2 linked regions of the Caenorhabditis elegans genome follow. The protein of the gene in region 2 interacts with the protein of the main gene of each other region in a biochemical or structural test. Each region holds a gene or a part of one and is shown on either strand. Other genes may lie near its edges.

Region 1 (5,834 bases), on a different chromosome or scaffold from region 2:
AACAATATGAGCAAAAAAAACATATCTGCTAAAACTTATGATTAAATTTAAAATTTGAATTTGAAAACAAGTTCATTCAAAATTTCTGAACTTTAACGAGTCAGTATCTATAATTTTTAGAAGTAGAATCACCTTGCAATCAGTTATCAAGATTTTAACTGTTATGGGGTTATTCAAGTATATAAAAACATGTATTTAAATACATGTTTTTATATACTTGAATACAGTTGTGAAATAATTCTTCTACACTTTTTAATTTTCCGACACTACTTGAATAACCCCATTACGGCAGTTAAAATCTGATTTTTTTCTAAATAGAAAAGCTACCCCGAATAAATACAAAATAAACTACCCCATTATTACACAAGAAATAAGAAAACACGGGACCCATCTCATTCTCAACTTTTTTGACCAATCATGAATAAAATACATTCTCAATCCCTTCTATTTTTCATTATTTTTCTTAAAAATCCGACAATTTCTGTCTCCGATCGTAGTCTCTTTTCTTTCTTCTTCTTCCCACACCTTATTATTAATGTATGACTCTTCTGCTCGGGCATCGGCGGGGCGACAACGACGAAGCTCATGTGTCTCTTCACATCCATCCTTTTCCTTTTTCGTTTAACCTCCTTCGTTTGTTTGATACGGTAGTATGGGAAGAAAAAAGAAAAAGAAAAAGAAAAAGATGGAATAAAAGGGAAAAAGAACAAAAACCTCGATGTGGGTTACTGGAAAAAAAAAACTGAATAGAATAAAATGTCGATTGGAAGGATTACTGTAGGTAAAACTTGTGACGTCATTACAATCTAACGTCTAACGTCATTACATGAACGATGTTTTTTGATGATAAAAAAAGCGAACAATCGTAGCCTGCCTCGTGCCTGCTTGCCTACTTGTCTTCCTACTTATGTTTCAGATGAAGCTATGCGACACGGTGGAGCTGGCCGCTCCAGATAGAAGCTCATAAACGATTTTAACAACAGGGGAGTCTCAAGCTTTCTGATTTCAAACCGTATTGAAAACAGCTCGAAAAATAACTGCCAAGAATAGGGGAAAATTCAGCGAATTTTTGTAAAGTCAATTTCAAATTTTACAGGAACTTCAAGGTTGAGGATCCAAGTTATCAACATGATGTTTTAAGTTTTCAATGTTTTCTTAAGAATAACAGTACGATTTTTTAAAGAATCACTGTAGTTTGACATTTACGAAACTGAAAATTTACGAAAAAGAAAACTTTAAATTTTAAGTTGCCAGCTTGAAAAGTAATCGAAGTTGGTTATTTCCAAAATGGACCACTTCAGTTTTGATGGTAAATATAGTAGCAGAATTCAGAATTCCAGCTGTGGAAAATGCATTAAAATTATTTTTTTTTTTTCTAAAACGAAAAGTTGAAAACGAATGAAAAAGTGAAATTGAATGAATGGAGAAGGCACATCGATTCCGTTTGCCTTTTTGCTCCTTCTTTCCCGTCCCTCTCCTTGTGTCGGTTTTAATATTTCATCACTCCGCTCCATTTTTAATTCAACTCTTTTTTCCTTCCCCCCTCTTCAACCCCCTTCTCCGCCCTTCCAAAATCAGTAGAGGTTCTGAAAATGGGGCGTGCACTAGCCACAGTACCCTCCAACGGACCAGAAAAATCATCCAATGGGAGCTGCCTAAAAGGGGTGGAGACCAAGACATAGGGGACCCCCGACCCTTCCGTATACATCTGTCTCCTCCCAGCTTCAAGGTCCCCCTCTTTTCCACGGACATGCAGAACACCGCACCCGTACCGACGACGACAACCGCTTCAAAAATGCAACCTGTAAGTCATAAATCTCATTGTTCGATTTGATAAGTATGGCTAAACCCATTAGACTGTTTAGTGTGAGCTCTAGAATAAGTAAGTCTCCCAGTTGACTTTCCATACGTTACGGATTTATTCATTGAATTGTTGATTAGAGACTCGGCTCGTTTTTATCAAATATTCATTCTTTGTATGTGTGTCTACTTGCAGGGGTCCCCCGCCAAGCCTTATTGAATATTAAGTTAAGTGAATTTTTAGGTAGGTCACTCTCTCTTTCCCTTCATCTCGTTCACAGTGAGCCACACACGTATCTACTTACTCCTCACACTGTTTTGAACCGTCTTTCTGTTTTTCATTTTTTGTTAGTTTAACTGTAAATTGTCGACATATGTAGACTGTCAGTTTCACTGATTCAAATTACATTTCACCAGGCTTTTTCTTTAGAATGATCCAATCATATGATAACGTTACGTCAATCACATTATTTTAAAAAAAAATTATGGTTTTGCTGGAAAGGAAATTCTGAACCATTTTTTCATTGGCCTAGATTTACGAAAACGTTTATTTCCTCTATAAAAGTACATATTTTAATTTGTACAGTACAATAATGAATAAATATTCTAAAACAGCCACATTAAGAGGGATACACTCGAACTTCGCTGATTTTTTAAAACAATCAGAAAATGTCATTTCTACTACTGATGAACAACACTGCTTGCTGATTTTTATGTCAAGTTTCAATGGATTTCTACAATTTTGAATATTGATTTTCAAAGATATTTTCACTTTTAAATTAAGCTTTGCGATGATTTTCTTAAAATCTCCAGAAAATATATCAACTTTGTATGTAATTTATTATCAGTTGTTAGCATAGTAGTAGGTCATAACATTACTGGTTTACCTGGTTCTGAGTAGTTTCCAAATAAAAATTCTAGCAGCCCTATTTCATGGTAATCATATTTTTTAATTAGTCTAATTAATATTGAGGCACTTTATTTAATTGTTAGAGTTTGCTAGTAGTTTTTTTTGACTATCTAATCTCATTTTAAATGACTGAACTCTAAATACCCCCTGTTTAATAATTAACTCCGTCCTCCATTAATTTTTCAAAGAGGAGGGCTTCTACCACGGAAATAGTCACATGGATTGTTCTATCAGAAATTTTTTGCCGTTCATTTAAAACACTAAGTATCAATAACAGTATATTCATAAAAGATTTTTTAAACGTATTTAAAACACTAAAGATAAATAGAAACGAGATTTGAATATTTCTCAATGATTTCACCCTAGTTATTGACTACACATTTAGGTCGTTACGTGTTATATTCATTGTGTTTCAGTTCAGGATAACAGGTGAAAATTAAAAATAGAATGAAGTATTGACGTACGAAAAGAGTTTAAAATTGTCTCCTCCCCCACTTTAGGTTAAATGTTTAAAACACTCTTCGATACACCTCCCCTATTCCTAATTCATGAAGATTCTTGAATTTCAGTTCAACAACAGTTTATTTGGATCATTCGATGACCCAATTCTCAATGCAAGAGCTGCACAAGTTGCCCTCGCTGATATTGATGTTAAAAATGTGCCGCAGTTGACAAATCCACTTATGAGACCACATGATATGTTCAGGTAATTTTCTTTTTTTTCACTCTGACCATCTTTCAGGACTTCATTCTATTTATTTTCAGCTATAGCAACTACTTTTCGGGAATCCACGACACATCCGCCGCCACAAACATCTACCAAGGACTCCCAAGCTCTTCAGAACCATTCGATGCATCTGTAGTTGTGCCAACATCCTCAGATGATCAAATGACACCCTTACAACAAGTAATGGCAATGCAACAATCATATGGAGCACCTCCACCATTTCAATACAATATGACTCATCCATTTTCAACAACATCCATTGCCAGTTCTAATAATCTTGCTCGTTACCCAATTGCCCCGCCAACTTCAGATATGGACACTGATCCGAGACAATTGGAGACGTTTGCAGAGCATTTCAAGCAGAGAAGAATAAAATTAGGAGTCACACAGGTTAGTATAAAAGGGTTGACAACTGGGTGTTAACTCTTATATTATCTTAATTATCTTAATTATCTATCTATCTTAATTATGAGTAAACTTTAGGTTTTTTGAAAAACAAAAACGTTCGGGAGTACGTAGCCACTTCTCAATCTACTTAGGCTTCTGCCACCTTACAAACAATTATCACCAACTTATATTCTGCTAAATTTATCTACATATTTCAGTAAAAGCCACCGGAGAAATGGCTAGTTTGTTGAAAAGTAGGTAGAATTAGATGAGAAATAACAACTAATTGCCAAGTAGGGCTACGTATGTACATTTTTAATTATGTTTTTAAATACAACAAAAGTAAGTTAGTTCAACTTTAGTTTCAGAATGTTATACATATATTCCAATAAAAGTGATTGCAATCCAGAAATAGTCCAAAAGTTAATTTTAATACTTCAGGCGGACGTTGGAAAAGCACTTGCTCATCTGAAAATGCCTGGTGTCGGATCATTATCCCAGTCCACGATCTGCCGCTTCGAATCTCTCACCCTTTCCCATAACAACATGGTCGCACTGAAACCAATTCTACATTCCTGGCTGGAGAAAGCTGAAGAGGCTATGAAACAAAAAGATACAATTGGAGATATCAATGGAATTTTGCCAAATACTGATAAGAAACGGAAGAGAACTAGTATTGCTGCTCCTGAGAAAAGAGAACTAGAACAGTTTTTCAAGTGAGTTTGAGTAGGGGAGAGTATAAATTCAAAATCATACATGCTAAAATTATGTTAAAATTAAACAAATTTGCTTTTCACTCAATACTTTAGAGATCAACGAATCAAAACAAATATTTCCAGACAACAACCAAGACCATCTGGAGAACGAATTGCCTCAATTGCCGATCGATTGGATTTGAAGAAAAATGTTGTTCGCGTCTGGTTTTGCAATCAACGGCAGAAACAGAAAAGGTAATATTTAATTTTTTAGCAAGACTTATCAAATAAAATTTCAGAGATTTCCGTTCCCAATTCCGTGCAAGAAGTGCAGCAGCAGTAATGGGTCCACGTGTGATGCCAGTTTTAAATGGAAATAATTCAAATAATAATCTGAAACAGGGTCAGACAACATACAATGGGCTACCTGGATTCTTTGATTAGTTTCGTTTTCGTGAACACATTTTCCCCGATTTTTAGAGTTTCAGTTTTAATCACAATGGGTATATTTCTTTTTTTTTTTGAATTTATAATCTCTCCTTCTCTGATGATGAGGATCGACCACTGAAAATATTCAGTGAGCTTTTCTTATTTTTTTAATTGTTTTATTTGAGCTTTCTGATGTCTCTCTTCCCCTTTTCGATGTTCCTCAACATTTTTAGCGACAAGATCTCTATTTTTGAAGTATTGTTTTCCATTCTTTCATGACTTTTTCTCAAACATCGAATCATTCCAGATCAATGAAATGCCTCGTAAAATAAATATAATTCATTTCTAAAAAACTAAGATATTTGTTTTTCGGTCTCATAAATAAGGGTTTAGCAATTCGCTTTGAAAAATTGCTTTTCTATAAATACAAATTTTCAGCTGATGCCAATTGTCTACGTCTATGAGATTATTTTTATCGATGAAATTAGTAAATTTATTAGTTTTAAAATAGAAAATTTTGGGTTTATTATTTTCATTTTCAAACTAGCAATTTTTATAGCTTAATCCTAAATGAAAGTCATCAGTGGCATTCTACAGATGCGCGATTCATGTATTCTCCGCCTCCCTTTTCGGAGACCTCCCATCACCTCGCGGCCTCTTCCACTGAAATTGCTTCGGAAAAGTGAGAAGTGCGAATGAAAGACGAGAAAAATACACAAAACTATGTACATAAAAATGTTTAATATCGTGTAAGTACTGTGACAACAAAGAAGACGAAGCACGAAGAGGGCGAGTAAAGAGGCGATGGAGAAGCGCCTCCGGGAACAGACTGTAGCTGTTAAAGATTGTCTAGTATTAACTAACACCAAAGCATCTTCGTTTAATT
Region 2 (5,537 bases):
GTCTCCCTGTTTTGCATATTTTTGTCGTTTATTTTGTTGTTTGTAGATTTGGGTAGATCTTCAGTTTATATGATCTTCGATTGTGCTATTTTCGGATTTTTATGGATAAAAATTACATCTTAAAACTCTCGGAATAAACTATCAAAATGAGGAGCGATGTGTTTTTTTTTAATTTTGCCCTGCAGGTACCCGGAGTAGTTGGCGAAGATAGAAATGGTGTTATCTTATATAAATTCAGACTTTCTCTGTTAAAATTTTAACCACCAAAAAATATAGAATTTATAAAAAGTTTCATTTTGAAATTTTATCTTTTGGGGCCATTTCACTACCTTATCAGGAAGAAATGTGTTTCATCAGAAATTGAATTTTTCATCTTTTCAGAAAGTGTACCTAATACCGTATCATGCTCATATTCACGTGAATAAGGCTTCTGCCCAGTTCTGTGATTCAAGGAAAACTACGAAAAATGATCTCATTTTCTTTGATTTATCACCGAGCTGGTGTGTCATCACACACAGTCTGTTTCTTGATAAAAACGCGCAGAAGTTAGAGCATTCATTGTGATTTTGGGTCTTTAATTTCTGTAAAACAAATAAAGTGACAAGTTTATCATCTGCCTATTTTATCAGTTATATGCATGGTTAGTTGCAAATAAGGGAGTAGAAATTGACTAAAACTCAAAATGAGCACTGAAACGAGGGGTTTTGTTAGTTGCGAAATAACAATTAATACAATCTGGTTGATTACTTTGTAAAAGGATAATAAAATATGCAAAACTTGGCGTATTCTGAGATTTCATTCCTAAAGACATTTATCAAAACAAATGTTTTCTGCAATTTTCTAAATTCTTGGAATTCTGCCCAGCAGCCTCTAATATCGCGTTTTACTTAGAAAATGACTTTTGGTTTCATTTTCTCATTTTCTGGCTTCTATTTTTCACAAATGCAAATATTTACATTTAAATTAGTACTTTCATTTCTACAAAGATCAAATTTAACATTATTGACAGGTTTACTGTTATCTTGTGACAGTTCCGTACTGTCAATCAAAACGAAAATTAAAACTCATGAAATATCAATGAACATAAATTGAAAAAAAAACCCAGTTGAAAGGAGAAAATAAGCGAAACACACCAACAACTGAGTAGTTACGCTCACAATTTGGAAATGATTTTGAAAACTCTCTGGACTGCATTTCAATTTTTAACAAACAATGAATACATACTGATAGTTTTTGTACTTCTCGGCATTCAGAGGCAACTTCCTGCCAACAACCTGGCAACTTATTTAGTGCCACTAAAATAAGTTGCCAAATTGTTGGCAGGAAGTTGCCTCCAAATGCCGAGTTGGAGCAAATGATTCGATATGATTTTAAGGATACCTACGCATGCCTCCTGCCAAGACACGCACCCACCTACTGAAATGTCGCGGAATTTTACCTCCCAAACTATAGATTGGGTGAAACTTCACTGTAAAAGCTTTTTTTAAGTAGTAGGCTGGCAGTAATGAAGACGTCCATACCATAATTTTTAATGTTGTATAGAAAATCTGAATTCTCAAGTATAACATTTTCCAATAATTAGCATAGTCAGAAACTCTCCACCGCCGTTCCGTTCCTTTTTTTTGTAACTATGGAGTAATAGAACAAGATTATTCAAATTCAAATTTTTATAAAACTTTACAACGTCCTTTCCATATATTCTTCACACAACATTTGAAAAAACAACAAATTCATTCGAAATGCATTGCCCATAATGAATCGACCGAAAAACACAAGTGACCGTCAGGAGATCGATAGAGAGAGCCCGTTCCAACTAGACAACTTTTTAGTGCTTATCCTTACACACACTTTCTAGCTTCATAAGAAATGCATCTATTATCGTCACCATTTGGAGACACCAGTTTTAGCGCACATTAATAATCGATCAGGGTCTAGAGACTCCTGTTGGATTGGCATGCCACGCCTACATGACATCTGGCTCTTGACGGGTGATTTGTTACAGTGAGTAGCCACAATTTCGCGCATTTTCTTCTAAATTTCACTGTTATTTGTTCTTCTGATTTATTTCATTTGAACTATGGAAATGTTAGAGTCAAAGCCTCTCAGTGCGATTAGTATGGTTATTGATTCAATTGGAGTTGATCATGAAAATCAGGTGAGTAATTAAACTTGAGCAGTTGTGAATTTCATCAGAAAACAATTTTTCTTTAAAAAAATTTAAAAGTAACAATTTGAGAGTCAGAAAAATGAAATTAACATCAATCGAAAACTTACATTGCATTTGCTTGAAAGTTTTTACAAAGACTTCTGCGTGTCAAGAAATTCCAATTTGAAATTTATACAAAATCCGCACGAGGGAAAATTTCTGTTCGACTTTCAGAGAGTCAAGTAAAATTACCGCATCTTCTAAAAATTCTGAAAGTTAGATTCTGAAAGTCAATCGTGTAAACTTTTGGTTGGTATTCATTCTATTTTCCAATCTCATTTTATCGATACGATCTCTAGTGAAACTTGTGTCTAACATTCTATAATTTTTTTAAATATTTCTAGAACAAATGTAATTGCTGCAATGAGCAAATTTATGATCGTTATATTTATCGAGTAAGTTTGCTGATGTTTGTGGATTTTTCAAACTTTCTTTGCTTTGCTTCTGTAAACAGTCTGCTCAAAATCTTGAATATTTTTCTTTTGCTTCTATAGTTCGAACAACATTTCAAGATTTCAGCCATCATTTATTTTCAGATGGACAATCGATCGTATCACGAAAATTGTGTCAAATGTACAATATGTGAGTCTCCTCTGGCCGAAAAGTGTTTTTGGAAAAATGGGAGAATTTATTGTAGTCAACATTATTATAAGTAAGCTTTAGCAAAATATTCTTGGAATTAATAAAAATACATTATTTCAGGGATCACAGTATTCATCGGTGTGCGGGTTGCAAGAAAGGAGTGTCACCGACAGATATGGTATATAAACTGAAGGTATTAAATTGGGTCAGAATGTTTAAGAAAACATTAAACTTTGAGCGAACCTATACAAAAAGTTGTCAACTTTTTATCAATTAAATTTTTGACTACTTTTGTATAAACAGTAGGAATGCCCGAAAGATTTCAAAAAGCCTACAATTTCAAATTAAAAAAAAAACCAAAGCTTTGACTAATAGTTTTGAAAGATGTAATCATTTTTTACGCTTTGCTCTTTGCTCTGACGGGATCCTGCTAGACGCACAAGCATAGAGCTTGGGGCTTTGATCGGTAAAGTTTGACTCAAAGAACTTTACAGGCTGGGCTCGTGTTCCATGTGGAATGTCATTGTTGCTCTTTGTGTGGACGGCATTTATCACCGGGGGAACAAATTCTTGTTGACGATACAATGATGACCGTATCCTGTATGTCACATTATCCTCCTCAAATGGATGACAACGCACCTGGAGCAATAGGATCTGCAGTTGATATACCATCTTGTTCGACAGAAAATCCAATTGCCCCATATCCAATTGATGAATCTTTTTCATCAGCTTTCCAAGTTAAAAAGGTATACTTTATTTTTCGTTGAAAGTTTAAAGGGATTAAATACCGAATAATGTACTGCATATTTAATTTTTAGGAGGTTGACGCTTATGGATACAACTTTGAGCATTATAGCTTTTCCGATTTCTGTGATGATGATTCACGAATGCTAAAAAGACGCGGACCTAGAACGACAATCAAACAAAATCAGGTATACAATGTAAGAAAGCGGAAATTTTCATAATGATTTTCAGTTGGACGTGCTGAATGAAATGTTCTCGAATACACCAAAGCCGTCGAAACATGCTCGAGCCAAATTGGCATTGGAGACCGGTTTAAGCATGAGAGTAATTCAGGTTTGGTTCCAAAACCGGAGAAGTAAGGAACGGAGGCTCAAACATTTGTGCAATTACTTGAGACATTATGAGCAACGTGGGCTCATTCCTCCGCCAATTCATTTTAGAAATGGTTAGTTTAAAGATTCAATCTGGAAAACGCAGTAATAGCTCTGAAATTTCAAAAAATAGATAGTGACTAGTAAACATTTTAACAAGTTGTTTTGTTGCATAAACATTAAGTTTGACACTAAAACTTTTCAAATCGGACTTTGTTCATAACTCAGATCCGAAATCTCTAAGCAAATAATTTATATAGATGAAAAAAAACTACCTTCTTTCGTGGCGATAAGTGCCTGTTTCGTGCCTACACATATGCCTACCTACTGTCTTAAAGCATGCGTAAATCTATTCCGTTCACTGAAATTCCGGCTATAACTGAAAACTCCATTAAAACTCCATAAAACAGGCAATAGATAGGCGCTTAGGCAGGGAAACATGTCTCACGTTTCTCTAATTTTCTGTATTTAAAGTTTCTCAATCATTCATTTTTGATTGTTCAAATCTATTTTCATAGAATTTTTTCTTCGAATTTCATGATGTTTAATTATTGAGTAGTTTCCCTATAATTATATATAACGCGTTTCCAATTATTGTCTGTTGTCTTGTTCGAAAATCTAAGCAACACTGATGTGGCAGTACACCAGAATACGCACAGAAAGCAAAAATCCAGAAAAGTTTGAGTTGCCACGTCATAAATCACAAACCAAATGGCTTGGCTCTTTCGAACTTTTTGCTGCTCTTGCATTCTTGTTTTTTTTTATTCTCTTTTTTCATTTCAGAAGAAATGGACACAACTGACTTCAACGCGTTTTGCGGAAATTTCGAAGAGGAAGATGATGAAGATTGATGAAGATTTTTTTAATTTTTAAAACAATATATTCCATTTATATATATATATTTCATAATGTATTTTCCTTCCCAAATCTTGAATTTCATTACATGTTTGCCAAAACTTGTGTTCTGAACTTGTTCAAATATTCACGTTTGCGCGAATAAGTAATTGAATGTCAGTCGATAATCTGATCTCAATGATTCCATTTTTAATTGTCCATGAATCATAAAATCACGAAATCTTAAAAATTCTCACACTTTGTCTCGATTCAAAAATAATCCTAAATGCTACGTTTTTGTGTTGGGTTTGTTGGTTTAAAAACGAGAAAATTTTCAATTATTCCGTCACCTTGATTGAAATAAGATTTGTTTTCCTCGTAAAAGAAAACGGTTCAACTAGCTGGTTTTCAAAAGATTTTCGAACCCTTGTAAAAGACTTATGTAACTCTATAATTAATGTTTCCGTCAAAGAATTGTGTAAATTGTATAAAAATAGTTTTAAAAATTAATGGAGGAAACTTCTTGAAAATTCAGCATTAAAATATAGTAGGTGTGTTTTTTTGTCAACGCCTTCGTGATACCTATTCCAATAACTAAATAGGTTTTTGCTACGGGTTGTAGTTCCTCGGAAAAAGAAACAATTTAATTTACTGAGCTAAGTGAACTATTTCCTCGCAACTTCCACACTTTTTCTTTCCTTCCCCAGAACGAGAAAATATTAGTTTTACCTGTAATTACTAGCTTATTTTCCAACATCTAAAACCAGCCCCCTTGAAGTACAATTAGCCAATGACGCACA

The links. Proteins that work in one complex are often made in the same cells at the same time.
Region 1: the proteins of mec-3 (region 2) and unc-86 form a complex in vitro, tested with the Caenorhabditis elegans proteins (one study listed by BioGRID).

Annotation. Positions count from the first base shown.
Region 1 is NC_003281.10:8,212,213-8,218,046, reverse strand, and holds unc-86 (Transcription factor unc-86), read left to right. Parts: upstream 1-1,710; 5' UTR 1,711-1,750; coding exon 1,751-1,804; intron 1,805-1,916; exon of another isoform or gene 1,917-2,060; intron 2,061-3,279; coding exon 3,280-3,416; intron 3,417-3,475; coding exon 3,476-3,827; intron 3,828-4,265; coding exon 4,266-4,540; intron 4,541-4,663; coding exon 4,664-4,774; intron 4,775-4,818; coding exon 4,819-4,963; 3' UTR 4,964-5,301; downstream 5,302-5,834. UniProt on the Caenorhabditis elegans protein: Transcription factor required for correct cell fate determination and differentiation in diverse neuronal cell lineages where it plays a role in specifying the fate of daughter cells during cell divisions. Involved in sensory neuron production and function.
Region 2 is NC_003282.8:10,458,307-10,463,843, reverse strand, and holds mec-3 (Mechanosensory protein 3), read left to right. Parts: upstream 1-1,976; 5' UTR 1,977-2,077; coding exon 2,078-2,155; intron 2,156-2,550; coding exon 2,551-2,601; intron 2,602-2,742; coding exon 2,743-2,858; intron 2,859-2,908; coding exon 2,909-2,981; intron 2,982-3,282; coding exon 3,283-3,534; intron 3,535-3,606; coding exon 3,607-3,720; intron 3,721-3,763; coding exon 3,764-3,977; intron 3,978-4,686; coding exon 4,687-4,754; 3' UTR 4,755-5,028; downstream 5,029-5,537. UniProt on the Caenorhabditis elegans protein: Transcription factor. Specifies differentiation of the set of six touch receptor neurons (TRNs).